7 linked regions of the Oryzias latipes genome follow. The protein of the gene in region 2 interacts with the protein of the main gene of each other region in a pairwise test. Links are inferred from orthologs where the notes say so. Each region holds a gene or a part of one and is shown on either strand. Other genes may lie near its edges. The genes, in order: c11h1orf109, kinesin-like protein KIFC3, psmb1, mid2, tfip11, creb5 and bysl.

Region 1 (4,196 bases), on a different chromosome or scaffold from region 2:
GATTTGATGAAGTGTCTTCAAATCCCTCGTCTTCCTCTCCGTGTCTGCATCATTGACTTCTGTCCTGCTCAGAAGGTTCTGGTTCCAGTTCTGCTCCTCCGTCTTCACTCCAGCTCCAGGAAAAATGACACTCTGCAAAGTGTTTCTGCAGGAGACAAGAGTCCCACATCTCAGAGTTGGCGGAGCTCGCGTTTCAAGCTTCGGACAGTTAATGTTACCTGTGATTCGCTGCTCGCCGTCAGGAGACTCCAGGGACTTCCACCTCTCAGGAAGGGATTCCAGCAGAGCGAGGTCGTTGGGTCTGAGCGTTTGCAGCAGAACTTTCCTCTGCAGGAATCTGAACATGAGCTCAGGAGAGCAGAAGACAGAAACAAAAAAACAGACTGCTGGCTCTACCATTCCCCGCCCTCGCCGCCAACTTTTGTTTTGCCCTGGAGGGCATGATCATAATCATAATTTTAAAGTTTTCTATGGATATCCTCCGTTTTGGCTTTGATTGAAGGATTTGAAATATATTTTTTGAACCCCATTAGAGATCTTTGCCCCATTCATTTTTGTGATGGTTTCTCCCACTGGAATGTTTATTTTATTTTATTTGTTAGTTTGTTTGTTTGTGTGTGTAGGGGGTGGACTATGTCAAGCCTTCCTATGCAGCGGGTACCGGGTCTGTGCAGATCTTGGTAAATATTTTAGCATTTGCCGTTTCGCTCTCAGAAAAAAAGAATTGCAAAAACAATCCGGTCCTTGCCGTCCATGAATGCTGCGGACCGTACCAACAGCACAGACAGGAAGGATACTGCTGCCTGTAGTGGCGCTCGGCGTCCTGAAGCCACTCCAGCATGTCTGCGACTGACGGGGTGACGGCGGAGCGCTCTGTGACGGCCTGCAGGTCCAAACTGGTGGCGTTCTGCTCATACAGCTGCATGACGGACCTCACCTGGTTACTGATGGCGTCTCTGGCAGACTGCAGACGACACCTGAGAAGGAAAGGAGTCTGTCTTAGTCCTCGGACAAGGAAGCCCTTGAAGACTGATAAAAATCATGTTTTTATCTGTTTTGACAAGTTTTTGCGGCCTTTTTCTGATGATCGAGGACATACATAAAGAAAAGTATGCTTAAAATTGGCAATCTGAAAATGTCTTTATTCAAATTGCTGTGAATGAGGAGCAGAAGAAAAAACCATGATGTCCCTGAATGCATCAGCACTGTCTCTGCTATGGACACACCTGGCATATGACACGGTATAACGGGGTGGGATTATATACGTTCGCTTCCTTCCACTCCCTTTCAAGCAATATTTATTAATATGTCTAAATATCCTAAGTTTGATTCGTCATTGTATGAATGTATAACTGATGATTGTATTGTTGTTGTGTATTGTTCTTATTTGATTGGTTGAAATAAACCATTTAAAAAAAAAAAGAAAAAAAAAGACACGCGTTCCAGAACATGTTAACCCATAGTGTTCACACAGTGCTAGTGGGTTGGGGCTTCTCCTTCTTCTACAATTGACCATGACTTGTCTTCCACCTACAGTTGGCAGAGTCTTGGTGCGAAATGTCAAAGTGGTGCAAATCTCTTGTATATCTGACTCCAGGCTTTTTCTTTTCGCATCTCTAGTCCAATATATGAAAGATTTAGTGTCATATATTCCGACTGGAATCAAATCAAAATCATTAATTTGTCCTCCATGGTCAACTTTCAAACGGTTGGTGTTTCCGTAAATTTAAAGGGGTGCCATCCATGCGTCACTACCAAATCTGAGTCCCTAATTGGTCAAAGTTCGACCTGGTTTAACTTTTAAGGTACATTTAATAGATGCACTTTTTGTACATACAGAGCTCAGAAATTATCGTAGAAACTTCAAGAGTTTAAACCAAAATGCAAATTTACATTTTTTTTATTGGTGGTTTCTTGAACGCGCATCGCTGAGGGCGGTGTGAACGTAGCTTAATGATGGTTCTAGTTTCTGGTAAAGGTCTTATGTGGCTTATTTTGATTTGGGGTTTTATCTTTAATATTTTCTTTAAACGGAAATTGTAATATATGGTTTGGTGCTAGTATCTGTACTACAGGAGCTCTTATTTTGAAACAAACTTTTTTTATGCTGTCACAAAAAACAGAGCTAATAGTCTTTTCAACGTCACAGGAGTCCCTGTGATGACGTCATCCGAGAGGCGCGTGTGTGTGGAGTTGTCGCGTGTCTCACATCTTCTCGTTGAGTTTCTCCAGCACCGTGTCCGCGGCCTCCTGCAGTTTGAAGCGCAGCCGCTCCTCCAGCTTCGGGAAGGTTCCGAGCGGCGTGCTGGAGACCCGCACGTTAGAGAGAGCTCTCATCTGCTCCGCTAGGTTCCCCAGAGACCCCAGGAGAGGGCTGCACTCCGCTAGCTCGCTCCCCCACAGCCGCTGGTTGCTCTCCAGCGCGGCGAAGCTGTTCCTGAACGCCTGGTGGAGGGCGCTGAGCGTCGGTCGGGAGATGTCAGACATGCCCTCGGCCTCCGCTCTGGCTTGGATGGGACTGTAAATATAGTTCTGACCAAGTCTGAAAGCCTCAGCAAAATTCTGCACTACTTTTCTGCGCAGAACCAGAAAGCGCTTCCGGTGTCAAGTAGTGACATATGCTGCCTTTACTGATCCTTGGAGATACGGTGCCCCATAAATACAGTAGCTCCTCAAAAAAGGCACTTGATTTCGGAAAATTGTATTTTTTCGTGCTCTCCTTTTTAAATCTACATACACACATACATACATTTTATTGATATATTTTCCCACTGGTTTTGTTAATGCTTCTGGACTTTTTGAGAACTTTTTTTTATATTTATAATCACAGGCATGTCTGTAGGAAGTTGCTATTTATCTTGGTTAAATTGGGTAAATTGTAATTGTGAGTTAAAAAAACTTTTTACTTGGTGACTATTTTTAGTATTTCCTGCCCTTCAGCTGTTTTACAAAAATGCTTTTTTTGATTCTTACTGAAACGCTTTCCATCAGGGGACGATTCATTTTTTCCCGAGTTGTCTTCGAACGCAGCATTGAACATTCGCAGTGCCGAACCCTGATGACGGGGCTCAATCCACGTCCTGATTGGCTGGATTTGTGTCTTGGCTCCGCCTCGCGCGGACATTTGAAAACGACTTCGCGAAGAAGGCAGGCCAGAGGGAAACCCACACAACTGTTACCTTTGTAAGAAAACCCGCTTCAAACTCAGACGAATTGAATCTAAAAACATTTATATCATAAGTGAGACCAAAGAATGAAAACGGGAGTAAATTAATCTGCCGGATAAACTCCTGCCGATTCCAAAGCTAACAACATAGCTGCTAACGTCCTCGGCGGCTTATTTTTTTCCATCTCGAAAACAACGTTTCACAGTTTTCTCCTGTTTGTGAAGTTCTGAGCGGACATGGCGCCCAGGAAAAGGACCACGAAGCAGCGAAAGAACAACCAGAAAATTGAAAAACTGGAAGTTTTTTTGGAGGATTTCGACAGCGAAGGTAAACGACAATGCTAGTTCGGCTTAAGTAAAGGCTCGGCCTACAGTTTGTTGTCTGAAATAAAGTGTTCTGAAACCCAACAAACCGAACCTGTTCAACCTTTGTCAGTAACAGCTGAAAGAGCTGACCAGGTTGGGGATATATATATATATATATATATATATATATATATATATATATATATATATATATATATATATATATATATATATATATATATATGCCAGCTCTTACCAGCTAATTCAGAATTGACAAAGCCTCTTGGATAAGGGGTGAAACATCTTCTAACTTTAAAAACTAAGTCTAGATGACAGCCCCTAAACCTACTACTATGATGGAATCAACCTGGATGAATGAGTCTTCAAGACAATCCAAAGAAAACAAAAAATAACTTCATTTAGCTGTTATAATTTGTTATTATCATTTGGAAATTGCAGGTTTTTTTTCATGAAAGACCCTACAAGAGTTCCTCTCCTTATATGTGCAATTTCATGCACTAATAAAAAAATGTGCTCAAAAACTAGTTAGAATTTGTTTGTAAATTTACTGATCGCTTATTTCCTGTTTGTGTTTTTTGTTTTGTTGCTAAAAAGATAATTATACGTAAAAAAGGAAGTTCTGCTCCTTCGAAATGATGCAATAAACCGGATCATAAAGAAGTGGATGGAAAAAGTGCTATAAAAAAACAATCTAAATTTTGAT
Region 2 (3,155 bases):
CATGAAGTATTAAGAACAGGACTATTTATTTGTCTCTAGATTAATTTAAAAATATGTATTCAATAATCTTTTAGCATTTTAAAATTTGGAGTTTCAATATCATGGACAAATGAATATTACGGAGAAAAGAACTTCCAATGAAAAGGTTATTGTATTTTTTTTAGGTTTGAGTGAGGCAAGCATAATCATTTAATCCCATTTTATCACAATAAAATCTAAATAGATTCCATTTTGCACATAGAATTTTTCTTTTTTGTTGTTGTTGTAAAAATGAATATTACCTTTTGGAGTTGCCATGCTTAACAGTGCATTTTATTTAGTGGTTGGTTTGTTGGATTATTTCAAGTAATAATAACCAAGTAATAAAAGAACCAAAAACATTGATGTATCCAACCTTGTTAAAATATGACATAATTAATTGATTGGGAAATAAAGATATTTAATAAAGCTGAGACTGTCTTCTTGACATAACTACTCCTAATCATAAATAGACATATTTGCACTTCTAAACACAGTACACAGACATGAAACACTAAATGCATTTAATGTAATGATTGACAAATGGAGTTGTTATGATTTTTTTTATCTGTATTTGAAATGTTCGTGTATACATCTTTTTTACGTATTGAAGCACTGCATTTCAGGGCACCGTGGAAAACCCTGGAATTAACCAGCGAGCTCTGAAACATCTCTTTCATGAGATCGAGGAGAGGAAGGACATGTGGTCTTACAATGTCTCCGTCAGCTCTGTGGAGATCTACAACGAGGTGTTGAGGTACTTTAGCTGCTTTTGCATAAAGCTGGTGTTTTTTTTCAGGGTTGCCAACAAATTGTGTTCTTCTTGTTCCTATTTTAGAGACCTGCTAAGTAAGGATGGAGAGAAACTGGACATAAAGATCAACCCCGATGGAACAGGACAGCTGCATGTGCCTGGCCTCAGAGTTATAGAGGTCAATAGTTTTCAGCACATCAAAAAGGTATCAGAGTTTTTTTAATCATCAGTTTAAACAGTGAAAAAAGGATGCAGACTTAATTCCTGCTCACTGATTTTATGCCCATGAAGATTTTAGCCACAGCTCGACGAAACAGGATCACCTTCGGCACTCAGATGAACCAGCACAGCTCTCGCTCCCATGCTCTGCTCTGCATCACTGTTCAGGGCACTGACCTCGCCACAGGCTCCAAAACCACCGGTCAGTCTCCCTCGCTTTTTCTTATTTTGGAAACAGAGCACCAATGTCAGACTTGTACCTCATAGGTATCACTGGGAAATAGGAAGGAAAACAGGAGAGGAGGCTAGCAACAACTGTCTGTGACTGAGTCCGCTCTTGTCTGCAGGCAAATTGAACCTGGTGGACCTGGCAGGCTCGGAGAGGGTGTGGAAATCTGGGGCCGAGGGAGAAAGGCTGAAAGAAGCCCAAAATATCAACCGCTCACTGCTGGCTTTGGGGGATGTCATTCAGGCTCTCCGTGCTCGACAGACTCACGTCCCCTTCAGGAACTCTCGCCTCACCTACTTATTGCAAGACTCCCTGGGCAAAGGCAGCAAAACGGTCATGGTGGTCCAGGTGAGATTACTTCTCCAGCCCTTTATGAACTTTGGTTCATTAAACGCAAATTACTGAGCCGGATGTTTTTTGTTTACCAAGGTTTCTGCTCTGGAGAGTAACGTCGGAGAAACACTGTGCTCTCTAAAGTTTGCTCAGAGGGTGTGCAAGGTGGAACTAGGTCCTGCAGCCAGGAAGATTGAATCTGGTGTGGGACAGTGTGACTGAATCATCTGGAGTCTGCCTGATCATCATCCAACCGACCAGCCAGTTCCAATACTAGAATAACCCTCAAAGCTCTGCAGCAATCCTGATCAAGGGCTAAATGTGCAGCTGTTGCTGACACCCGAACACAAAACTCCATCATAATCATCCACTTCTGTCGCCATAATTCTTAATCTTTCCTCAGTCTGCATGGAGGAGTTGGTATCTTCCAATGGCCTCGTTCTTCTTCCAGTCTGGCTAATGAACAGAGAAATTCTCATCAGGATATCAACACTTCAGTTCATGCTGAGTTACTCATCCTGTTGTAAATGTCTGTAGTTTGTAATCTTCATCCCAAAAGTGATGTATATCCAAAGGTTGTAGTGTGTGGGAGTAGCTGAAGTACAAGCTGCTAATTTATGTCAGATTTTTGCAGCCTTTTTCTCTTTAGAGCGTTTGCCTTTTGTGGCAGGAATCTGTTGTGGAAGGAGCGGGTGGCCTTTATGTCCCGAGCTGTGCAGTACGCTCCTTCAAGATGAGGGGAGTTTTCACTGAAGAGGCACTTTATTGTAAAAGGAACGTACCATTTCAGCTCAAATGCTTGTAATAGAGTTCACTAGTGAAGTTCATACCAAATACTGTTTATGGGTTCTATTTTGTTCATTGATTTATCAGCGCTTTAAAGACAGTTTTGACTATAATGTAGCAACACGTTGATGTCGCATCAACTAACTTGAGTGCTTAGAGTCACTAAAGATAATAGTGAATCTTCAGGTAATTTTATCAATAAATATGGGTTTTGAAAAGTGCTTTTTGTCTGAATATTCACTGATTAAAAAAAAAAAGAAAAAAAGATGGCAACTAAATTTTGCTTTTCATTGATACTTCTTTTGGCCAAAATATCCCGATAGTTTTCAGTAAAACAACACAAGTCTGAAAAAACAATTTTTACTTTAAATGTTAAAAAATGATAACAGAACTGATTGCAGTAACACACAAATATACAGAACACCTTATTTCTATATAATAACTCTTGACTTGTGGCGAATCCTGACAGGAACTTCCTGCATGAAAGCAGCTGCTGCTTCCTCTGAGGACGCCCTCTGTCTCTGTAAACGTCCCATTTTCACTCCGAGTCCCCCTCCTCCAGTCCGACTGCTCCCACCGCTCCAGCCAGTTCCTCCTCGCTGCCTCGGAGACGATCACCTACATTTGTTTTTTTCAGAAAACAAGCTCAAATGTTTAACTGTTTACGCGCAAGTTGAGACTTTTCAGGGTTTTTTTTTTTACCATGACCTGAGTCCACAAAGAAAATGATGCAAAAACAGCAAAGATTTTCAAAATAAATGATGTCTTCTGTTTATATTTGTTTGCAAACACATTAATTGACAACTAATGGATATT
Region 3 (4,317 bases), on a different chromosome or scaffold from region 2:
TGACAACATTCACACAATTTTTAAAAAAGTGGCAGCATTTTGTCTTTAAGTGTGAAATGAATGGTGTCTACACGAAGTGGGGCAAGAGGTCTTAGCAGAACATCAGCTTTCTGTTCATTCGAAACGGTTCAAGCTCCCACTAAACTTTTGTATAAATAAGTTATATTATATTTCCTACTACATTCTATGATACAGTACTTACTGTTTTGAACTCCAGAGAATATTTTTGTGTCCCAGGATTTTGCTAATGTAGTGTTGAATGTTGTAAACACGGATATAGCTTTTACTGCCAGACTTCTGCAGTTTTCTGTATTTTGTGTCAGAAAAATCTTCTAAAAGCAAACTCTTGATTGTTTTGCTGTGCTCCAGTTTTAATGCTAAGATGAAATAACGACACATTTTTTTATTCTTAATATTTATTAAGAATGTAAAAAGAAGAGCAGAGAATGTTTAACTTCAAAAGATAGAAAATCAGAACAAAAGCAGGGTCTAGGGAGGTGGATTCTTAGAACAGGAGTGCTGATCTATGATGAAGCTCTTTGACCAAACTAGCAATAATGCGGCAAGAACAGAAAATAAAGAATAAAGTGAAAACATGTCTGTTATGATGCCAAATAAGAGTTCACCTTTGGATCAACACTCCTATGCTTAGAAATCTGATAGGAAGGGGTCAGAATAGCAGAATATACGCTGAACCCACAGACCAAAAAAAAAAACTTGTTTTTTTCTTAGTCCTTCCTGAGTGGTATATTTTGCTCTTCAATTCCTTCCTTAGTGACAATGCAAATTCGAAGTGCGTCTCCTGTGTAGACATCTCTTTCAGCAGCTGAAACGAAGACGTCCTTGACCAGCTGAACGGCCTTGTCCTTAGTCAGAGGAACATGCTCCACACCCTCCATGTTCTTGAAACCGATCTGTGGAAAGATAAGTTTAAAAAAAGACTCTGTCCACAATAATTAGGATGTATTAATGTGTGTGATGTTTACCTGGTTGTCTAATAATGGCTGCAGCATTGCACTAGCTGATCCCCCAGCCTTGTAGGTGTCCCTCTGATAGGACCCCACTGGGTCAAAGCTGTAAACTGCTCCTTTACCTACATTACAAATGATCAATATTCTTAATGAATAAACAATTTAAAACAACAGGAGAAAAAGCAGCTTAGGTATAACAAATGTGCTACAGCCAATGATAATGATATGGTGGTTTAGAAATGTATAACATCCTATTTTAACAAGTATATTTGCCCAAAAAACTCCACTAAATATAATTGCGATGCAATACAACCACCGACCTTGTTCATCTAGCCCCCCAATGATGTTGTAGACATAGTATGGGAAGAATCTCCTGCTGTACAGGATAGTGGACAACATGGCTGCAATGGCTCCACTGGTCATAGTCTTGTTGTTTGAATGTTTGTACATCTAAGAAGGGAGAGAAAACAACATTTCTATTTTTTGTAGCAGCAAGTGACAAAAACACTGTAATTTGTACAGCTAATTTGGGGCTGATCCCAATACATTTCACTGAAATGTCTGATTTGTGTTTTAAGAGTGCACGGTAAAATAAGCAAACAAACCTAGAATTACACATTTTATTTTTGTATGTTTAATAACAATAATTTCTGAATTTTTTTAATCTGTAGGGTCATTAAAGAGAAATTAAAGTTTATCATTTACAGTTTTTCCTTATGCATGTATCCAGAACCTTTTCAGCTTTTTAAATGGGTCTCAGGAGATTATGTGATAAAGGACAAGTATTGTGGCATCTCATCAAAAAGTATTAAACCCAGAACTCTGTCCTACCTTAAGCCTGGCATCAATGATTTTTGTCAGTGTCAGGCAGTCACCATGGAAACCGCTGCAGCCAAGGACAGTTGTGTCTGTCCTTTAATTAAAAGAGAGAAGAAAAAACAACATTTTATAATGTAGAGCAAATCTTTTGCATAAAAAAAATGTTGTTTGCCGATTGTCTGAATCTAAAAGCTGCTTCTGCAGAAGCCCAATATTCTCAAAATTGCATGAATAAAATTAGAAACTTTCAATTAAAATTTCACAAATATAACACCACAAAAAGACGAGATTAACAAGTATTTAAAGGGTCACCACTTCTGTTATCTGCCTCTACAGAGAAGCACAGTGAAACGACAGAATACTTACAGCTTGTAGCATTTCGGCGAGTCCCGGCTGTGGATGGAGTAGCCTTCACTCAGCCTGGTGTCTGAAGCAACAATTGCAAAGTCTTCCCCAGCAACAGCTAGCACAGTTCTAAAGAGATGTTAAACAAAGATACATGGGTTCATTTTTTTTTAAACCCCTGATAGAGCAGGTCAACTGTGAAAACAAACTTGTCCTAAACATAATGCTAACTGAGGCCAAGAAGACCGAAAGCGAAACTTTCAACTTAAACCCAATTTACTTTTTAAATGTTAACTTCAATAAGATAATGCAATTACTTGTTCAACAGCAAGTCTGGTATAATGTACTCAGAGTGGCCTAACGTTTAATATAGTTTTTTTTTTTTTTAGACAGAGCTGGTTTGCTAGGAATGGCTTTAGCACGGCTAGCTAGTCTACCACCGCAATGCAAGATGATCAAAATAAAACTAACCCTCCATTGAAGGCGTATGGTGAAAACCGATGTTCCGTGGGTCCCGCATAATGGTATTCTTTCATCTTTCCAGATTCTCCAAAATTCTGAGCTGAAAGCATTTTTAAACCAAGATAGCCAACAGATTGGAGATTTCAGCCGGGCAAACTCGCTGTATCACTGCAATATGGCAGACTCTTCTTCGCCGGTAAATGAGTGACCACATATGGTGTGCGCGACAGCGCCTCTACAGGCGCATAGATGTAACATCAGAACAGGCTCTATATTTAAAATGTTGCCTGCACAAGTCGTTTGATTATTTATTTTTCAAAATACAATAAATGGACTAATTTTATATAACAATATACAAGTACATATATGTAACAAACTGTATTGTACACTGCATCTTATTTATTAACACACAAACATTTCTGAAAAGTTTGTTTTTGATTAAAAGAAAGTCAGATAAATCTGATACAGATAATTTATTTATATTTTAATTTTGTCAGCTGAGACTTGAAAACAGAAACCAAGCAAAACAGTTGGTCCAAAGAACAATCACATTTTTTATATAGAACACTTATGTCACTATATGATTTGCTATAGGAATCCAGAAGTGTAATAGATATTAATTACATGGCCATTGCTTTTACAAAATCATAAAATCACAAACAACTATATTTCCTCACTAAATTGTCAAAATTGTGATTTTATCTAATACACAAGACACAAAAAGCCTTTTAAAGGAAACTTTTATTCTAAAAAAAAAGAAGAAAAAAAGAAAAACAAACCAAAAACACTGCAGTGAATAAACATTAGTTGAAATTCTCATTTTGTAACTCATTAATTCCAGGATGATGCAAAAGAAATAAATTAAAAAAGAAATATAAAAAATACCTACAGATTCAGTCTTAGAGTACTTTTTTTAAGTTCGATTTTTTTGTAAAACTACGAAAAACAAAAACCACAGAAAATTCACTTCGAAAACCAAGAAACTTAAGCAGACAGACAGAACACATAGTTTTTCCTTGTTCACTTAAAATAGGCGTACAGGATCAGAGAACCCATTTATTTAATGCAAATTTCACAGAATTTGAACAAAAATGATCATACATTACGAAACCCACAAGCGTACAAAAAGTTGTTCGACCAAAGCCCTGTTTTAAACTAACTATCAGTAGTACGTAATGAAGAGCACCATTTGCTGACCTGAAATAAAGTTCCCAAAGAAATGCTTGGAACCCCACAGGGTAACTTATTGGTTTTCTGCAGTAAAATTGACTCAAAGGTGTATGGTATAGTAAAAAAACAACACTGTTTGTACGTCGACATCACAGAGAAACAAGCAAGTAAGTATTTGGCTTTTTTTTTTTTAAAGAAAATTTGTTGATTTTAAATCATAATTCCTGCTTTAGTCATATAAAAGAATGAAAGTGTGGACACAAGATCTAGAATTTGTAATTATTTTACATTGTTATGTTTTCTTTTGTCAAACTGAATGCTTAATTGTAATCTTACTTCAACAACAGTCTTGGAATAAATAAATGACTAAATCATAACTTTTTGGCTGACTTGGACTTTTTAGGTGTTTTGCCCCCTCCTTTCTTCTTGGGTGTAAAACCCTGGTCGCAAACTTCACACACCCAAAGACCTGGAAAAACAAAAAAAAGTATTAAACAATAAAAGAAAACAAAGAGATAATAAAAAATAAATGCGTTTCCCCTCTCCCTTT
Region 4 (4,457 bases), on a different chromosome or scaffold from region 2:
TTGTCACAAGATAATAACACGTAGAAAAAAAATTAAAGATTGGGCCACTGGTCATTAAAGTCTTGTTGTTCAGAAGAAGTTTTCACCACCCTGCTGTAAGCACCTTCAGTTATATAACCTCCATTGTCATAATAAGTTGCCATTATATTTTTTCCCATTTTTCCAGAGAAGGATTAGCCAGTTTAACATTTGTTTTTTTTCACATACCATTCATCACAAGCAAAATGAACAACATATTAATATTTAGAAATTATAAAAATACAGTTTGAATTAATATGTAAACCAACCTGTGTGTTAGACTATAAAACAAAGCATTAATGTGTCTAGATGGAAGGTAGCCGGTGTTAGAGGATGCAGACAGGGTTAGATGGAGGAAGCTTATTCGCTGTGGCGACCCCTGAAGGGAAGGAAAAGAAGAAGAATTTGGATGGGATTTTAAAAAAACAAATTGTCCACCCAAAGCTCTTGTGGTCTAGAGAAATATTTCATGAGGATGTTTTTCATATTCTGACACAGCTTTGATGTTAGTCACACTGCAGGATGGTTTACTGCTCTATAAGAGCAGCTCCACATAAATAGATGCAGTATTACAAAATATTTATTTGTGAGTTTGTGGTTTTGCACAATTTGCACACTTTTATTCAACCTTAAATAAGGGATTGAAAAACTCAATGCATGTTTTGTGTCACAAAAGCTGAGGAGTCCCTGTAAAGCTTCTAATGTTGAGCAAGTCATACTGACAGGCTCCAAATGCTCTGCCCTGGAGTATTTTATAGCTTCATTTTGTGTGTTTATATGTTTACATAAAAAGTTTGCAGGTTACGGAAAAAAATATAAAACAATGGACAATACAGGCTTGTGCTGTTTGCAGCCCTTCAGGCTAATTGCAGTTCTGAAATGCAGTATAACTGTTTTACAGAGAAGGCCTGTGAGACAAAGAAAACTGTATTTTGGCTTGCTTGTGGGGATAAAGTTGCAAGGTTGGCAAGTCTCCCCTGCTAATCCTGTGGCCTCCAGCATGTTGCAAAGATAGTCTGTCCCAAATACATGCAGTAGGTCAGTTTAACATACATTTCTGCTCAGATATTTTGCGGTCTCTGACAATAAATCTGGAGGGAAAATTTGATGTTTCTTTCTTTTTTTTTAAATTATTGCATAAGCAAAAGGTAAATTTTTACCTTTTTAAAAAAGTATTGGAAAATAAAATATTTTGTGAAATTGCTCTTGTAGTATAATTGGTCTCCAGTTGGGAGTTATTTTTACTAAGTGGGCATTGTCTGTGTCATGGCAAGATTGTAATTCATTTTTAATAACGACCATGTGTTTTTTTTTTTAATCCACAATTTGAATAAAATAAATAAATGGGTTAAAAATAAAAGGACATATTTTTAGTATCTATAGTTCTTTGGAAATCTATAAAGACTGCACTGTTGAAAGTGAACAGAAATGACAGCGACGCCGTGAGGCCACGCGGGAGGAGAGCGCGGGTGGAGCAAAAGAGACGTTGTGCGCACAGCTCGGGGTTTTCACAGTGGAGCAGTGGAGTAACCGATCCCAGATGCTGCCGTGAGGGATCGAGAGCTATTCCCGTATCCCTGTGGGTTGCCCACGTGACTCCTCGGGGATTGTTTGGTGTGGGGACCACGTCAGGCGGCAGGGAGAGCGCGCAACGTTGCGCGCAACTGAGTTGGAAAGCAGCACCCAGAAGAGGAAGACGCGCTCTCGCTCCTCCGGCGGCTCGTCATCCAGATGTGTTTTGGGGCGTTGACTCTCGTCTCTCACCCACTCTGATGCTCAGTCGCACCTTTGTCCAAACTTTCCGTCCAGGATCTGTGATCTTCTCCAACTGTTCTTCCACGAGGGTCCATCCAGAGCTGTCACGGGGGGCGGAGGTAAGCTGCGCGTCTTTGTTGTGTTTATTTTTGGTGGAGTAGCCTCAGGACAACGTGCGCTGAAGGATAAGCGCTGACTGAAGCATCCGTCAATGCGCGAAGGGCGCGTTCTGTTCTAATGACCCACATCCATGGAGGAGGGGGGGGGGGGGCAGAATGAAAAACAAGCAGAGCATGACTGACCATCTCATTCTGTTTTAAATGAGGTGTGCCACTTTTACACCACAAGCATTTTTTTTTTGGAGAGTCAGGAAACTGTTTCTACAAGATTTTGTGGGCATTATTTTGAGTTTCTTTTATGCACATTTCATGCACACCACACGTATCCTCTGTGGTATTGCATAGCATTTCAGGAACCAAGGCAGCCACCATAACTGACACCTGATCCGGGAGCCTGATGTCAGTGAGACGCTTTGTTTGAAGAACACTCAAAAAAGCTGGGAATAGCTCCTGGAGTGTGACATGAATACATTTCACAATAGATTACAACTCAGTTAAAAACTGAAATTAATTACCATAATTTTTAGAGTCACATTTTTTGTTATTGACACAATTTTTGTTATGGTTTGGCAAAGGGTGCTACTTATATCAACCTTTTCCTCTTTATTAGGCATTTTTTGGCTGCTGTGACTTAAACTGTGAAAAATGTAGTAAAGTACGTTTTTTGTTTTGTTTTCTCATTCCTAGTGACATTAGGGAGAAAGTGGCACAGCGGCAGAGTGTAAAATGTCAATGGGCAGCAACTGATCAATAATGAATGAGTCAAAACAATGCAGGGCAGGGAAAGAGGGGTCAACTGTCACGAAGTGCTGCTTGTCCCTTTTTTCACCAAGGCTACCCATTGATTCAATAGAAACCAATACATTAGTGACACAATAAAACCAAGTGCTGTGTCTGTTGCTGGGGAATTCAGCGGCACATTTGATGAAGTGGTGTTTCACAGTCTTTTAAAGTGATTTATGGTCCCCTGCACTCTTTTCTTGCTCTGTGGTTAATGCACGATCAAAGTGGCTAATGAGGCAGGTCTCAGTGGATGGGGGCTCGACACCCAAATGCAGTCGAGCTAGTCGTGAGAGTATAGCTGACACCCTCATTCATCATGGTTCTACAGGCCTGCTCTTTCCAATTTATCTGCTTTTTTTTCCTTCCCCCTTTACGCTCTTAGATGGTAATTATTATGATGTTTTAATGATGACAACAGTAGTCACTTTTTTGTGACAGGGACAGGGGTGTCTGTCAGTTGACACGCAACTAGAATTTTGCAGCTGCAGAGGATTCCATGAATAGAACTGAGAGGTACATGTTAGACTGTGTGTCTTAGCTGGCATTGCTCACACAGAACCAAAAAAGAAAAAAAGAAAAAATTTAATTCTTAAGGAAAAAACAAGTCTTCAAAAAGTACTGTTTTTTTTCTGACTATAAGACGCTCCAGGGTACATGCCACAGCAGCCAAAAAGTGCCTAGAAAAAAAGAAACGATCATATATAAGTCACACTTTTGAGAGAATTTAATTAAACAAAATACAGAAAAGGGATCTTAATCTTGAAAGGCAAATCCTATTTGCAGCAAAATTTCACTGTACTTGTACAATGACAATAAAGCTATAACTTTGATGACTTCTTTTCAATTTTTATAATGGAATGGATAACAGTAATAGTCAAAATATCTGTACACTTCACTACCATAATACATTGATTCCTATTTAGCTTCATGAAACATAGGAGTAGTTTAGAATAGCCCAACATATGAACAATTATTCAGATAACCATATCATAAAGAACATGCTAACAAGTCATTTAAACTCTTTATATTACTTCAAATGACTAAATCCGTTCAATTCTTCATCCTCTGTTTCACTTTGGAACAATTCTGCTTAGCCCGGCGTAAGACTGAATGACTCTTCTTCCTCTCTGATGTTGTCAGTAGCAAATACTGATACACACACCTACAGTGCCTTCTAGCTGTTGTGCATTTTTTCTTTTTTTTAAAAACACATATAAGTCACAACTGAGTATACTTTGCACCCCCGCCCAAATACATGCAAAAAAAATGCGATTTATACTCCAAAAATAGGGTATATGTATTATTTATTTTTTAAGATTAAAAAGAAAGAAAAAATTAACTTGTATAGTTGCTAAACTAACTCTTATCACCTTAAATGCCCAATATGATCTTCAGTGGCTATCATTTTGCTATTAATTTTTAATGTTTCAAGCTTTAAATAATGTAAAATGTTCTGGGTAATAATAAAAGCTGTGTTTAGCTGAAAGAGAGCTCAGTCTGTTGTTGATACACAAGAGTGTCATCAGCATAGAAATAGAAATGTTATTTGACTTTTAGTCCTTTTTTTTAATTATAATTTGTGTTTTTAAAACTCACACATAAGAACCTGGATCAATTTTTTCATCAAGTAACTGAAAGTTTCAAATATGCTTCAAAGAAATTCTAAAAAAGTTTTTAGTAAGTTTGAGTCATGGCATCTCAACGTAAAATCTTCTTCCTTTCACCACTCATGCTAGTGGCTTGACTGGTCTGACTACTTTCTTTTCCTTTCCTTTCCTTTTT
Region 5 (4,483 bases), on a different chromosome or scaffold from region 2:
AATTTTATTTCAATGAAGTCCAGTCAGCTCTGAGTTTCCTTCAGGATTATCTCCAAATCCTGGCGGTCTCTGTATTCAGGTTCAGGTGACTCAGCCCAGTTAGTCTGTGGCACTTTGTGTAAGATGTGGGGAGGAAAAGCAATGACTGCCGTATCACTGAAGACATCTATCATGTGAGAAGGACAAGGCAGCATTTTTTCCTCACAGAGGTCCACAGCTTTACTGATGTAGCTGTATTCCTGTTTGAACACTCTTTCCACCGTTCTGCAACAGACAGAGGACATTATTTCATCTCTGTTTGCTAAAAACGATGCGCTCCATCATCAGTGTTTTCTACGAACCTTTCCCTCATACCATTGAAGCTGTTTCCAATGATTACAAGCTGGTATAATCCCCGTAAGCTCCAGTTTTTCCACAGTAGGTTGTTGTACAGAGCCTTCCCACAGTGCATGAGATAAAAAAGAGTGGGCTTGGTCACCAGACGCTTCCCCTCCTAAATAAAACAGCGGATACTTTAGTCTGTTTAGATCTCAGTTACGGTGATAACATCAGCAGTTTGTTCTCTAGAAGTGCAAAAAGAAAAACAATTGACATGACCTCGTTTTCTGTGAGTACAGTCATTCCCAGCTCCCTCAAGACATCCTGCTCTCCAGAGGAGAATATGGGATCATAAACCAAGCAATCCCTTAAGGAAACCTTTAGGAGAAAAAAAACTAAATGAGCAACTCAAAACAAACATAACACATGTTTGTTAGAACATAGTCTAATGCTCTCTTCTGACCTGTAATACTTCCAGCAGCAGAAGCAGCATGGCAAGCTGATACCGGGCTGCAGTGCAAGAAGAAAAGGAGCCAAGGCCATAACACACACACTCCAGCTGATCACCTGTGTTCTTCAGATGCTCCTCAGTGACGTCCTTCTCTGCAGATGCTGATGCTGTGGATGCCATCAGCAGCTCATCTGAGGACGAGGAACATAAGAGTTACAATTCAATTACACACTAAATAAAAAAAACATGTCTAAAAAATTTGGTTATGTTTTACTTACCTTTCCATTTGTGCCAAAACTCTTCGCATCTCAACTCAGTCCTATGAGACAGAGAGTAAAGAATGAGATATCAGAATTAGTTTTCCCCTCGATAAGGCACAATGAACTATGTTTATGAGTGGTTTTCCGTTTTTTTTATTTTATTTCTTACACAGTGGTCCTGATCCGTCTGACAACTTTCTCGACATCAAGCTGGTCTTCTTGGACGCTGGTGGAACTTAAAGGCACATGAGATTTAAACTTCCTTGTTTGCCCTTTTCGACGCCGAGCGACCTGCCACTCACTTTCAGACATTTTTTTTATCTCATTCCCATCATTCAACGATCTATAATAAAATGTTAGGGGTGAAAAAAAAACAGTGATAATAATTAAAAAACAAACACCCTAATCACCTCCGCCACAAAATCAGCAGCGCGTAGGACGGTTTTAAGTGTAACACATTTGTCTTCCGGTGTAACGCCAAAATAAAAGCTTTTATCACATAATTTATTAACCTAAATGTGTGGTGTTGCTGTTTTAACTTAGAGAAATTTATATAAAAACCAACACAAATCTTTAGTAAATGCAAACAAATAAAAATAAGTAAAATCTCAAAGTTTTAAGGTCACAACATTTATTCGTCAGTACTGACGGACAGACTTTACCCGGAAGTATTTCCACGTTCGTGCGTTGAACGAAAAGCTACACAGATAACCTCTTCTTGCTACAGACAGCCAAGAATGAGTTTTAATTAATCTCTAAGTGTATAAACTATTTCTTGTCAAGTAAGCTTTGTTTGTATTAAGTGCCTTTCTACTTTCCAAGTTCGAAATGTTTCTGCAGTCGTAATGGGATTTAATGTCCCAACTATCGTTAGCTAGATTTCGCTAAAAAATCTCATCATTTGCATTATTAATATCTGAGTTCTGTTAGTTAATACCTTTTTGCTTGAAACTTCTTAATGTATTTTTACGCTTTCAATCATACAAATGTGCAATACAGTTGATATTTATGTTGATAATTGTTTGTGACCGAAACAGTTTTGTGGCTAGCTTCGTGCTTAGCTAGCGTTAGCAATCATTGCTGACTGTGGTTTCATGCTGTTGTACGATTTTTTAAGCAACTTGAATGTTTTTCAATTGTATGGCTTTTATGATTTTTTTTTGTATTGGGTCTCTATCTAGAAATGTCGATGTCCCATCTTTACGGGCGGAGGGAAGAAGAGGAAGAAGGTGTGGAGATCGAAAGCTTCGAGGTGACAGACTGGGATCTGGCCAATGAGTTTAACCCAGAACGCCGCAGGTTTAGGCAGACCAAGGAGCAGGCCACTTATGGGATCTGGGCTGACAAAGATTCAGATGAAGATGAGAGACCCAGCTTTGGTGGCAAGAGGTAATTCACAGGTTTGATGCTCTGATGTCTAAATGTGAAAATTTTTGCAGAGGATGTTAACAGTGTACATTTTCTTTAGGTCGAAAGATTACAGCACCCCAGTGAATTTTGTTAGTGCCGGTCTACGTAAAACTGCAGCCGAGGAGAAACAGCAAGACAAAGAAGAAGGTTCTGATGATTCGGAAGAGGATGCCCCTGCAGTTCCCCCTCCTACTCGTGGAATTGCACCTAGAAAACTTCAGATGGTAAAGTTTCGCTTAAGAACATATTTTATCTAAAAAAGCTTTCTTTTTAAACTGACGTCTATAATTTCTTTGTTTTGTCAGAGTAATTTTCGTGGGAATCAGTCCCAGAGGTTTGCTGGTGGAATACAATCTGGACAGGGTATTGGAACCTGGGAGAAGCACACAAAAGGAATTGGACAGAAGCTTCTGCAGAAAATGGGTTACCAGCCTGGAAAGGGGCTTGGAAAAAATGCTCAAGGTAGGCAGCGTAAAGGAGGAAAAGTACTGTACACGATTGTGCTTTTGCATGCATTTCAGAGGGAAAATAATAGAGATTTTATTGCCATGCCTCTGTTTTGTTTATGTAGGTATTGTAAACCCTATTGAGGCAAAGGTCCGTAAAGGTAAAGGAGCTGTAGGTGCATATGGCAATGAGAGAACCCAGCAGAGTCTGCAGGACTTCCCTGTGGTTGACTCTGAAGAAGAGGAGGAAAAGGTGAGATTTTGCCACGAGCAGTTCTTTACTCCATATAATCTTGTTTTCACAGTGATTGTGTATCTGAAGAATTGAGGGCTAACTGTGAAATTATCTTCTTGTTTTTCTCCTGTAATGTGTGTTGTTGTAGGAGTTTCAAAAAGAATTGGGTCAGTGGCGAAAGGATCCTGCGGGCTCCGCAGTCAAGAAGAAACCAAAATACTCATACAGAACTGCAGATGAGCTGAGGGCTAAAGGCAAAATGGTTTCTCGGAACATGGCAGCATCTGCAGGAGAGTTGGCGCAGGTTAAGGTGCGTTAAAATCCTGCGTTATGTCCTTTTAATTTCGGGTCAGAACAATGAAAAAAACCACAAACTTTAATATTTTAAAGAGCTTCACAAGCATCTACTTGTTTTTTTTTTTTTTTTTACATTTCCTCCTTTCAGCATAAAACTGAAATAAATTGAAAGATTTTTATGGCCATGGAAGTAAAATGATTCAAGTTTTCTTTTTATTAATTGTTTTTATCTCTCTTCAAATTTAGGTTATAGATATGACTGTAAGAGAGCCAAAGGTTTACTACAGTTACAGTCAGATAGCCAACAAACACAGTGTTCCCGATGAAACCCCACCAGCCATGTCCACACGGGATCAGAAGGGTTCCGGCTTCGCTCTCCCTGAGCTTGAGCATAATCTTCAGCTGCTGATCGACCTCACAGAACAGGACATTTTACAGGTCAGAGGAAAATCTGAAATTCTTTCAAATCATTTTCAACTATTAACCCGTTTCAAGTGGGCTTCCAGATTTAATTTTTTTCTTCTGCTCTCTTTATTTATTCTTTTGTAGTCGGCCAGACGTCTACAGCATGAAAAGGACGTGGTCGTTTCTCTGAGTCATGAGTCCCGTGCGTTGCAGAGCAGACTAGAAGCAGAGCAAGATGCCATCCAGAAAATGGAGGCTGTTTTGGCACTGGTGGAGCGTTTTCCCTCTGGAGAGACGCCACCAGGGGAGGGACCGACTCTTCAGGTACGTGGCACATGAAAATACCCAAACTAGATGTACTTATCTTGCAGTTTATTTGTTCCTAATGGTTTTTAATCTCCATTCTTCTAACATTTAATCATTTTGAACATACTTATTTGTTTATTTTCTCACCTCTCTGTGCCCAGGAGTGTGCCCAGATCTTTGAGACTTTACAAACAGATTATTATGAAGAGTATAAAATGATGGGATTGGCAGACCTGGCTGTGGCAGTTGTTCATCCTTTACTTAAGGAGAAACTTCACTCATGGGAGCCTCTAAAGGTTTTTTTTTTTTAATTATTCTAATTAAATTATTACGCTTTTATTTCTGTGGGGGGGAA
Region 6 (3,180 bases), about 560 kb from region 2:
GGCTCAGCGCACTGTCTAGTGGGTCTAGATGACCCAACTCCCAATGTTAAAGTGCCTAGGATAGCACAAGGGTTAAATAAAACACATTTGCAGTTGTGTGTTTAAGAAAAAAAGGGTTTTTGGTGTAAAGTTCTCTTTCTCCACACACGTGGAACTTTCTTCCCCTGAAAGGTGAATATGAAGTTCTAAAGGACCTGTTGGAGTGAGCATGCATGGGTTGACATCCCCTAACTTAAGCATCCTGGAGCTGATGCCTGTTCTAATCTGATGGAAAATCTAAATATGAGCACATCTCTTCATCTGAGTGCAGCGGCCACTTTGCATCTATCTGGACTCAAGAACAACATGTGTGTGCTGCAAATTTAACTCCAATGTTATTTCATCGGGCCTCTATCAAGCTGTCTAGACACATCAATAATTAATGAGCATTCTAAACCTTTAAAGCATAAGTATTTTATGAGGGGATATTTTTCAAGGCTGAGCATCAACAAAGGTTTGGTTTAAACTGCGTTTTTCCTTTGGCAGAAGTCAATTTAGAGCAAATAATTGTCTTTAAAAGAGAAAAAAATACAGTCATTTTACAGAACAAGTGCTTTATTTTTTTATATCATAATGTAACAGCAACAATATGCTTAGACGCCTGTACAAATGTCAAATAAAATGTAACCATGTAATAAACGACACGCCAAAAAACAAACAAAAAAATGTACAAAGTGATGCAGGCATTGATGTTCATTATATAACAAGTGCTGGAGCAAGCCTTGAAATACAACAAAAGGCAACAAGTGCGAAAAGAACATTATTTACAAACGTACCACACATTCATACGCCCTTTGAATAGAAAGGTGGTTGCGTTACATATCCAGGATTATAGAAAATGAACAATATTATGTACAATATTTAAAATTATACATTTAAAACATCCGTGGGGAGAAAGAGTTTTGTTCTCCAGCGCACAGAATACTCTCACACGCACATTCATGCTGCACATCTGACTTTTCAAAGATCTTTTCTCCAAACCAAGATCCCCTGTCAATACATTTTACTCTGTTTTTATTCATTCCAGTTGAACATACTTTTTAGATTGTTGATCCATTTTCACATGCAAAGGATTTGGAGAAACTTAATGTACAAAGGGTGGTTTGACGGCCAGATATAAGGCAAGGTTCAGTACTTAAGGTTGGTGCAACAAAGCCCTTTTTTTCATGAGAATTTAAGTCCAACATTAGAAAAAAAAAAGACATAAAAGATACAAATGCACTCAAAAAGGGAATGGAAATATAAACTTTCACTGTCTTCATCTTTGAGAAGAAAAACAACAACGAGAGCACAAATGAAATGATGCTTGGTCCTTAACTAGAGCCTTGCAATGTAACCCTCCTGGTTTCAACGTGATGCAAGCCAGGCACAGTCTCTTCATAAAGCCAAACACAGTGAGGTCTGTTGCTGGTGTGTGTAGACAGGGGATCACTGAGAATTACTCTGACCTTAATATGGCTATTCTACCCTCTGGCACGACAGAGGACAAAGTGCATAGACAGCGCTGCGATTACTCCACCTGTCAGTGGAGTGGATCTCCATCGTCTTACTGTAAAACACAGTGCACTGTGGTCTTCATGCTAATGAACTGACATTCCTGGGAAAGAACAAGGAGCTGCGGTCAAGATGAGAAGATTAGGTTTCAAGGTCAGATGTGTATTCATCTGGGAATCAGAGGAATTTTGGCCTTATAGTAAATGCATTAAGACATGAATGAACAAACAAACCAAGAGATTCTTGAAATTGCAATTGTTGCCGCCTGCAATAAGCCCACAGTTATTTGAATAAAGATTTGAGGCACGTTGTGACATCTTGGAAACCATGCCAAGGATTGTTCCCTTCAAGGTTGCCAGTCCCCCCCCCCCCTCAACGGGGAAAGAAAACGCTACAAGTCGTCACTTTTTCGCACAGCGCGGCCGCTGAACTTTGCTCTGCAGACAAAAGAAGGAAAACACAAATGTACGAAATATCCACATGCAAAACGGTGCTGAAGCACACAATTATCGCTATTTAATTTGAAGTCTTCATTTTAAAAAGTTAAATAAACATTAAAAAGTGGACCAGAAGGGATGCCACACACACTCTAAAGCTTTGCCTGGTCCTGAGCTGCCTCACCGCTATCACAGTGATTATTACATGATCATTCAAGAGAAAATGATCGATACTGTAGTTTATTCTCTGACTTGATCATATGGCTACATCACTATCATGTCGTATTCCGTGCTCTCCATAAGTCCCATTCTTATGAAAACTATGCTGATGAGAGAATATTAACAGTCCCTTTATTTCCAACAAAACAAACAAATATTATACCTGCTTGCATATTTCTGTCTTTTTGGACATCATGGTGACCGCATGACTCGGTTTCTTTACGTAATGTGCAGCAAATGCTCAGCACTCTGTCCACATGTGAAACAGACAACATTTGGTTTACTTTTCAGTCCATCTGCCAAGTGAAACAATCGTTCGTAGCAATGACAGTCAGATAATGCTCATGTGTCCTTTTTAAAAAAAAAAAAAAAATTTAAACCACTATGGTCAGTTTAGTACCGTTACACTACAGAAAACCATTGAAACGGTGCATGATATGAGCAAAATTAACCTTTCAGCGAGCGCAAAAGAAGCAGGTAAAAAAGCAAGAGCATCGAACATTTATGCGTTAATAGGTCTATAAAAATATACTTTAGCTACTGTATAAAGAACAGCCTCACAGGCCTTTGAGGTTTTTATATTTATTTTTTCTTTGAGGGGTGGGGGCAGCGTGTGCAGCTGGTAACCCTCAAAATGCAGAGGTTGTGGTGGGTGGGGGTTCGGGGCTGTAGCTGAGGTTTTAGACTTGTTCCTAGTGGATAGGATTAATGTCTGTGTGATGGTTGGCCTGCCCGTGCACACTGCTGCCCCCTACAGTCGTTGTAGAGGTTGTTATGGTGTTGTGCTGGATGACCTGCTGCTGCTGTTTGCATGCTGGAGCTGGGCTGCCTGCTGGACTGCTCTCTGGACCTGAGGACACAGCAGAGACAACGCGGATCAGGTTTAGATGTAGGAAAAGCCTTTAATTAGGGCACAGACACAAGTGTGCACCTCAAACCCTGAAATGTCTTTACTTTGCTAAAAACAGTCATTTTGGGACAAAATCAAGGT
Region 7 (4,380 bases), on a different chromosome or scaffold from region 2:
AGTCCCCTGGGAGCCCTGTGAGAGTCATGTTTTTTTGATTTCTCCAGTGCTTTCAACACCATCCAGCCATCACTGCTGAGGAGGAAGCTGGAGGTTGCAGGTGTGGACCAACATCTGGTTGCTTGGACCATCAACTACCTCACAAACAGACCACAGTTTGTGAGGCTGTGTGTCTGATGTGGTGGTCTGCAGCACGGGGGCACCTCAAGGGACTGTGCTCTCCCCACACCTGTTCACCCTGTACACATCGGACTTCACCTACAACTCCCACCACTGTCACCTGCAGAAGTTCTCAGAGGACAGTGCCATTGTGGGCTGTGTTTGTTAAGCTAAGCTAACATCCATCATGGATAACCCCTCCCACCCCCTGCACCAAACTGTAGAAGCGCTGACCAGCTCCTTCAGCATCAGACTGTTGCACCCTCAGTGTAAGAAGGAGCGCTACCGCAGGTCATTCCTCCCCACAGCCATCAGACTGTACAACACCGTGTTATAGTAGCTGTGTTTACATGGGCAAAAGTAATTGGAAAGAACACCTGAATCGGAAGGAAAATGTGTCATGTAAACACACCGTTCAGAATACTCTGCCCTGATCAGACTCGTTTGGATCAAAATGTCTTTCCGATCGAGATAGGTGGGTTATGCCGATTGTTGATCCAATCGTGTTACATGTAAACAGTTCATTCCGATCGTGTCACTACTGCTCTGGTTTAACGTCACGCATAGACGGTGTATCGCTCCAGAGAAAGCTTTGGAGCGCAAACAGGACCAACCGGCTGCTCTGCGGAGGACCGGTGAGAACCGCCGCTCTGCTCTCGCCCTGCTGGCTCTTCACCTCTCCCCTCTCTTACACCCCTCACGAGGGGGCTGCGAGGGGGAGCGCTTCGTGCCCCGTGACGTCTGGACCCTGCGTGGTCCGGGCTCGGGTGCCGGTGGACGGAGCGAACTGTGTCTCTGAGCAGAGCAGCCGGATTCATAACTTTGTGTTTGAGGGGAGTGTTTGTGTTCATCAAAAAAGGCTAATGTTGTTAGCGCGTGTGTTAGCCTCTCCAGGGTTCTTCCACAAAAAAAAGCACTGACCACACGGATTAAAATTAAAATGATGAGCGAACAGGCGCTTCATAATATTCATAACATTGATAAAAGCACGTTTAGAAGATCGTCTTGTATATTACCGAGCTGCTGCATGAATGTATGTGGCAGCTCGGTTTGTTTACTGTGGGACCCATTTCCTCTTTCGGTATTTTCAACACTACTGCTCATGCTCAAATGATTTATTCCAACCGAAAGTGTGACCCATGTGAACGTTTGTTCTAATCGGAAAAAGGTTTTCTGATCCCATGTACACGGTTGGATTTTAATCCGATCCAGATATTTTGCGCATGTAACCGCGGCTTATGTCTTCAATAATATAAGAAAGCTCACCTTTCCCACACCTCTATAAACCTCTGTAATTCTGGGGTCCAGCTGAGGCATGGGGCGCCCTGACACCTCCGACATCACCGTCCCCACTTCGGTCTGCTTCTCAGTGATTTTCTCCATGATTATGTCTGCCAGGGTCCTCCTACGAGAAAGAGAAACATGTTAGTAGGGACAGAAGAAACTGGCCTGGTGGTTTCTGTTTGTTGTTGTTGGTTAGTCAGAACTGCCATGTTTCTTGCCTCATTGGTGGGTTTTTATTCATGAACATCTCAATGGCCTTTTCGTCTTCTGGGTCTACAATAATTTCAGCATCACATTCGGTTTCTGCCGCCCCAGAAACTGCTTCTCCCAGTGCGGGCCACTCTTCATCCGAGTCTGCATCCCCAGATTCAGGACCTACAGTTACAGGAGTGTTTAGAACTCACATAATGAAAAGATGCAGATCTAGATGTATGGAATCACCCAACTAACTACAGAAACGAGTAAATGAAAACATTATTACTTCTATTTTTAAGTATTTATTTACTGAAAGTATTTTAATTTGGAGTGTTTACTAAAACCATCATTAGTGAACAGTTAACTTTATTTTTAAGTCATAGCATTAGTGCATCCCTTAGCAAAAAGTAGTCTATTTAAGTAAACTACAAGTATACTGTCTATACTAAAAGTAAAGCAGTAAACTAGAATTTTCTTTTTATATACATTTAAAATTTTCCAATAAAAGTCTGAAAAAGTATTCAGTTACTATATGTCCTACACTACACGTACATGGTCTATACTTGTACACTACTACACACTTATTACTCAAGTATCCTTAAGTAAACTTCAAGTGTACTTGTCTTTGTTAAGGGTAGATGGGTCTGAATTGTGATGAATCTGTGATGCAACTTTACTAAAGTTGGTCATCGTTTTCTTCGGTAAGAAAAACTAGAACAAGAGAGAACCTTTAGAAACCTTAATCAACGGCTTCTGTTTGATCATTTTCTAAACTGAAGCGGATGTCCTGGTTCTGATCCAACATTACCAAGAACAGTGACCGGTGTCGCCTTCTTCTTCTCCGGTACCAGCCCATATTCGGTCTGAAGCTCCTCTTGCTGAATTCGGGCTTGCTGTAGGATTTTCCGCGACAGCCGCTCGTCTACGTAGGTGTCGTCGCTTTCTGGCCGCTGGTCTCTGCTCTTAACCCGGTTGCGGGCTCGGACCGTGTCCGTCTGCAGGATCTGGTCAGCCAGCGCCACGGATCCAGAGCTCTTTTCTCCTCCACCTTTAGATTTCTTCACTTTCGGCATCGCTACAGCTCCAAAAAAATTTACAAGCTAAAGCCTGTCTATGCCTTTTTAGTGTGTAAACACCCAGCTGTTTAGCACGTGCGGACAAACGGCATGCGCGACAGAGGCAGCGGAAATACATTACGTCACATCCGGTTTCATTAAAAATGTTTCGAAACATTATATATGAAAGAACCTATGTTTATTAACTGAGTTAATCAGTTTAACTCAATTCGTCTATGTTCACTTGTATTTTTATTTTATTTTTTCCTTTACCGGAAGTCAATTTGTTTAACCGGAAGTAGTTGCGAAGGAGGCAAAACAAAAATGGGAGTAACTTGGTAAGGAATATTTTGGCTCATTAAAGTGTAATTATTATTTCAACATAGTTTGGTTTCGCTATGTTTATAGGACCTGTCTATTTCAAATGTTTGTTCTTTTGGGGAAAGCGTGCTCCTCCCCTTCATGGATGCGTTGGGTTGTCGCTGCTCAGTCGGGTGTTTTGTCTTTCAGTGTTTGTCAGGTGCCCATAGCGGAGGGCAAGAGTGTGCAGCAGACCGTGGACGTCCTGCAAAAAAAGCTGGAGCAGCTCGGTTCTGTGAAACAAGGCAGCTTCTGCGTGGATTGTGAGACATACCACGCCACGGGAAACGTTGTCGGTAAGCTCGCTACTTTTTCAAGCATCACGCGGGAAACATATTAGTAGTTATTTATTCATGTGGTAATTAGTTGTGGTTGCTTAGACCTTTAAAAAGCAATTAAAAAAAGGTGATTGGCATATGAGCTCCGTTTGTGCCCTTGCATTTAATTGGTAGCATTTTTAACAAGAACATTCAGGGCTTTTGCTAATTCTTCCTTCAGACACATCTGCAGTAAATATGGGACACAATTAAGCATACATAGCCACTTTATCTTATGTGTGTTTGTCAAATTATCTTGAGAATATTTTACAAATTAGATAAGGGTCCTATTAGTTCTACTGGAGTGTGACGACAGATCACCCCTTCAGCTGCACTTTAATGGCTCTGGCCTTTTATGGTAGAAACCATCTCAAAGCCTTACTATAAAACCAAATATTGTTTAAGGTTTTAGACTTTAAAAACCTTTTTTACATCAATAACAGATGTGCCTTTATTTGAATCATGGATGTGGAGTTTATGTATTATTGAGTTGAATGCATCATCCAGTGTTTCCCGTCTGTCACAGGTCAGCCCTCCAAGCTCTTATACGTGATGCATAACTCTGAAACCCCTCTGAGCTGCATGGCCCTATTCGAAGGAGGACCCTACTTAGTAGCTGATGCTAACTTTGACGTCCTCATGTCCAAGTTAAAAAGTCATTTCCAGAACGCCAAGGGACACAAGGTGGAGAGTCGAGGCTCCCGCTACCGATACTGTGACTTTTTGATAAAGGTGGGCACTGTGACGATGAGCTCCAGCGCCAGAGGCATTTCAGTGGAGGTATGGAAATGCAGTTTGTCCCTTTCAGCGGGACGGGTGGACATGATGTGCCCTGTGTGTTTTACTGCAGGTGGAGTACTGCCCCTGTGTGGTTCCTGGGGACTGCTGGAACCTCATGAAGGAGTTCATGCAGTCTTTTCTTGGCACCAGCGTTCCCGAACTTCCATCTGTGTTTGCTGCTAAACCCGAAGGGCTTTTTGCAGCAGCGGACTGTGTTGACACCATGACGC

What was found.
Region 1: the proteins of kinesin-like protein KIFC3 (region 2) and c11h1orf109 interact in binary tests that used the Homo sapiens proteins (3 or more experiments, as listed by UniProt). The two-hybrid records come from large-scale screens. The link is inferred for Oryzias latipes from reciprocal best matches to the Homo sapiens genes KIFC3 and AIRIM.
Region 3: the proteins of kinesin-like protein KIFC3 (region 2) and psmb1 interact in binary tests that used the Homo sapiens proteins (3 or more experiments, as listed by UniProt). The two-hybrid records come from large-scale screens. The link is inferred for Oryzias latipes from reciprocal best matches to the Homo sapiens genes KIFC3 and PSMB1.
Region 4: the proteins of kinesin-like protein KIFC3 (region 2) and mid2 interact in binary tests that used the Homo sapiens proteins (3 or more experiments, as listed by UniProt). The two-hybrid records come from large-scale screens. The link is inferred for Oryzias latipes from reciprocal best matches to the Homo sapiens genes KIFC3 and MID2.
Region 5: the proteins of kinesin-like protein KIFC3 (region 2) and tfip11 interact in binary tests that used the Homo sapiens proteins (3 or more experiments, as listed by UniProt). The link is inferred for Oryzias latipes from reciprocal best matches to the Homo sapiens genes KIFC3 and TFIP11.
Region 6: the proteins of kinesin-like protein KIFC3 (region 2) and creb5 interact in binary tests that used the Homo sapiens proteins (3 or more experiments, as listed by UniProt). The two-hybrid records come from large-scale screens. The link is inferred for Oryzias latipes from reciprocal best matches to the Homo sapiens genes KIFC3 and CREB5.
Region 7: the proteins of kinesin-like protein KIFC3 (region 2) and bysl interact in binary tests that used the Homo sapiens proteins (3 or more experiments, as listed by UniProt). The link is inferred for Oryzias latipes from reciprocal best matches to the Homo sapiens genes KIFC3 and BYSL.

The regions. Positions count from the first base shown.
Region 1 is NC_019869.2:20,075,700-20,079,895, forward strand, and holds the start of c11h1orf109 (uncharacterized protein C1orf109 homolog), read right to left. Parts: upstream 2,907-4,196; 5' UTR 2,488-2,906; coding exon 2,210-2,487; intron 978-2,209; coding exon 798-977; intron 338-797; coding exon 219-337; intron 146-218; coding exon 105-145; 3' UTR 1-104. Other genes in the region: cdca8 (borealin), read left to right, coding at 3,404-3,494. UniProt on the Homo sapiens protein: Part of the 55LCC heterohexameric ATPase complex which is chromatin-associated and promotes replisome proteostasis to maintain replication fork progression and genome stability.
Region 2 is NC_019874.2:16,696,024-16,699,178, forward strand, and holds the end of kinesin-like protein KIFC3, read left to right. Parts: intron 1-644; coding exon 645-775; intron 776-856; coding exon 857-977; intron 978-1,063; coding exon 1,064-1,193; intron 1,194-1,338; coding exon 1,339-1,568; intron 1,569-1,649; coding exon 1,650-1,775; 3' UTR 1,776-2,584; downstream 2,585-3,155. Other genes in the region: ccdc12 (coiled-coil domain-containing protein 12), read right to left, coding at 2,878-2,957. UniProt on the Homo sapiens protein: Minus-end microtubule-dependent motor protein. Involved in apically targeted transport. Required for zonula adherens maintenance.
Region 3 is NC_019861.2:24,487,444-24,491,760, forward strand, and holds psmb1 (proteasome subunit beta type-1), read right to left. Parts: upstream 2,801-4,317; 5' UTR 2,708-2,800; coding exon 2,607-2,707; intron 2,265-2,606; coding exon 2,157-2,264; intron 1,885-2,156; coding exon 1,803-1,884; intron 1,422-1,802; coding exon 1,292-1,421; intron 1,094-1,291; coding exon 987-1,093; intron 915-986; coding exon 729-914; 3' UTR 399-728; downstream 1-398. Other genes in the region: phf10 (PHD finger protein 10), read right to left, coding at 4,139-4,236. UniProt on the Homo sapiens protein: Non-catalytic component of the 20S core proteasome complex involved in the proteolytic degradation of most intracellular proteins. This complex plays numerous essential roles within the cell by associating with different regulatory particles.
Region 4 is NC_019868.2:12,829,873-12,834,329, reverse strand, and holds the start of mid2 (probable E3 ubiquitin-protein ligase MID2), read left to right. Parts: upstream 1-1,518; 5' UTR 1,519-1,892; intron 1,893-4,457. UniProt on the Homo sapiens protein: E3 ubiquitin ligase that plays a role in microtubule stabilization. Mediates the 'Lys-48'-linked polyubiquitination of LRRK2 to drive its localization to microtubules and its proteasomal degradation in neurons.
Region 5 is NC_019867.2:13,548,345-13,552,827, forward strand, and holds the start of tfip11 (tuftelin-interacting protein 11), read left to right. Parts: upstream 1-1,682; 5' UTR 1,683-1,811; intron 1,812-2,210; 5' UTR 2,211-2,212; coding exon 2,213-2,418; intron 2,419-2,497; coding exon 2,498-2,663; intron 2,664-2,744; coding exon 2,745-2,901; intron 2,902-3,010; coding exon 3,011-3,138; intron 3,139-3,268; coding exon 3,269-3,430; intron 3,431-3,663; coding exon 3,664-3,855; intron 3,856-3,966; coding exon 3,967-4,146; intron 4,147-4,289; coding exon 4,290-4,424; intron 4,425-4,483. Other genes in the region: srrd (SRR1-like protein), read right to left, coding at 24-264, 342-493, 598-696, 782-960, 1,048-1,088, 1,199-1,341. UniProt on the Homo sapiens protein: Involved in pre-mRNA splicing, specifically in spliceosome disassembly during late-stage splicing events. Intron turnover seems to proceed through reactions in two lariat-intron associated complexes termed Intron Large (IL) and Intron Small (IS).
Region 6 is NC_019874.2:16,139,007-16,142,186, forward strand, and holds the end of creb5 (cyclic AMP-responsive element-binding protein 5), read right to left. Parts: intron 3,040-3,180; coding exon 2,882-3,039; 3' UTR 2,439-2,881; coding exon of another isoform or gene 2,409-2,438; 3' UTR 577-2,408; downstream 1-576. UniProt on the Homo sapiens protein: Binds to the cAMP response element and activates transcription.
Region 7 is NC_019863.2:2,276,664-2,281,043, forward strand, and holds the start of bysl (bystin), read right to left. Parts: upstream 2,821-4,380; 5' UTR 2,712-2,820; coding exon 2,447-2,711; intron 1,819-2,446; coding exon 1,662-1,818; intron 1,565-1,661; coding exon 1,426-1,564; intron 1-1,425. Other genes in the region: med20 (mediator of RNA polymerase II transcription subunit 20), read left to right, coding at 3,018-3,031, 3,204-3,349, 3,897-4,150, 4,221-4,380. UniProt on the Homo sapiens protein: Required for processing of 20S pre-rRNA precursor and biogenesis of 40S ribosomal subunits. May be required for trophinin-dependent regulation of cell adhesion during implantation of human embryos.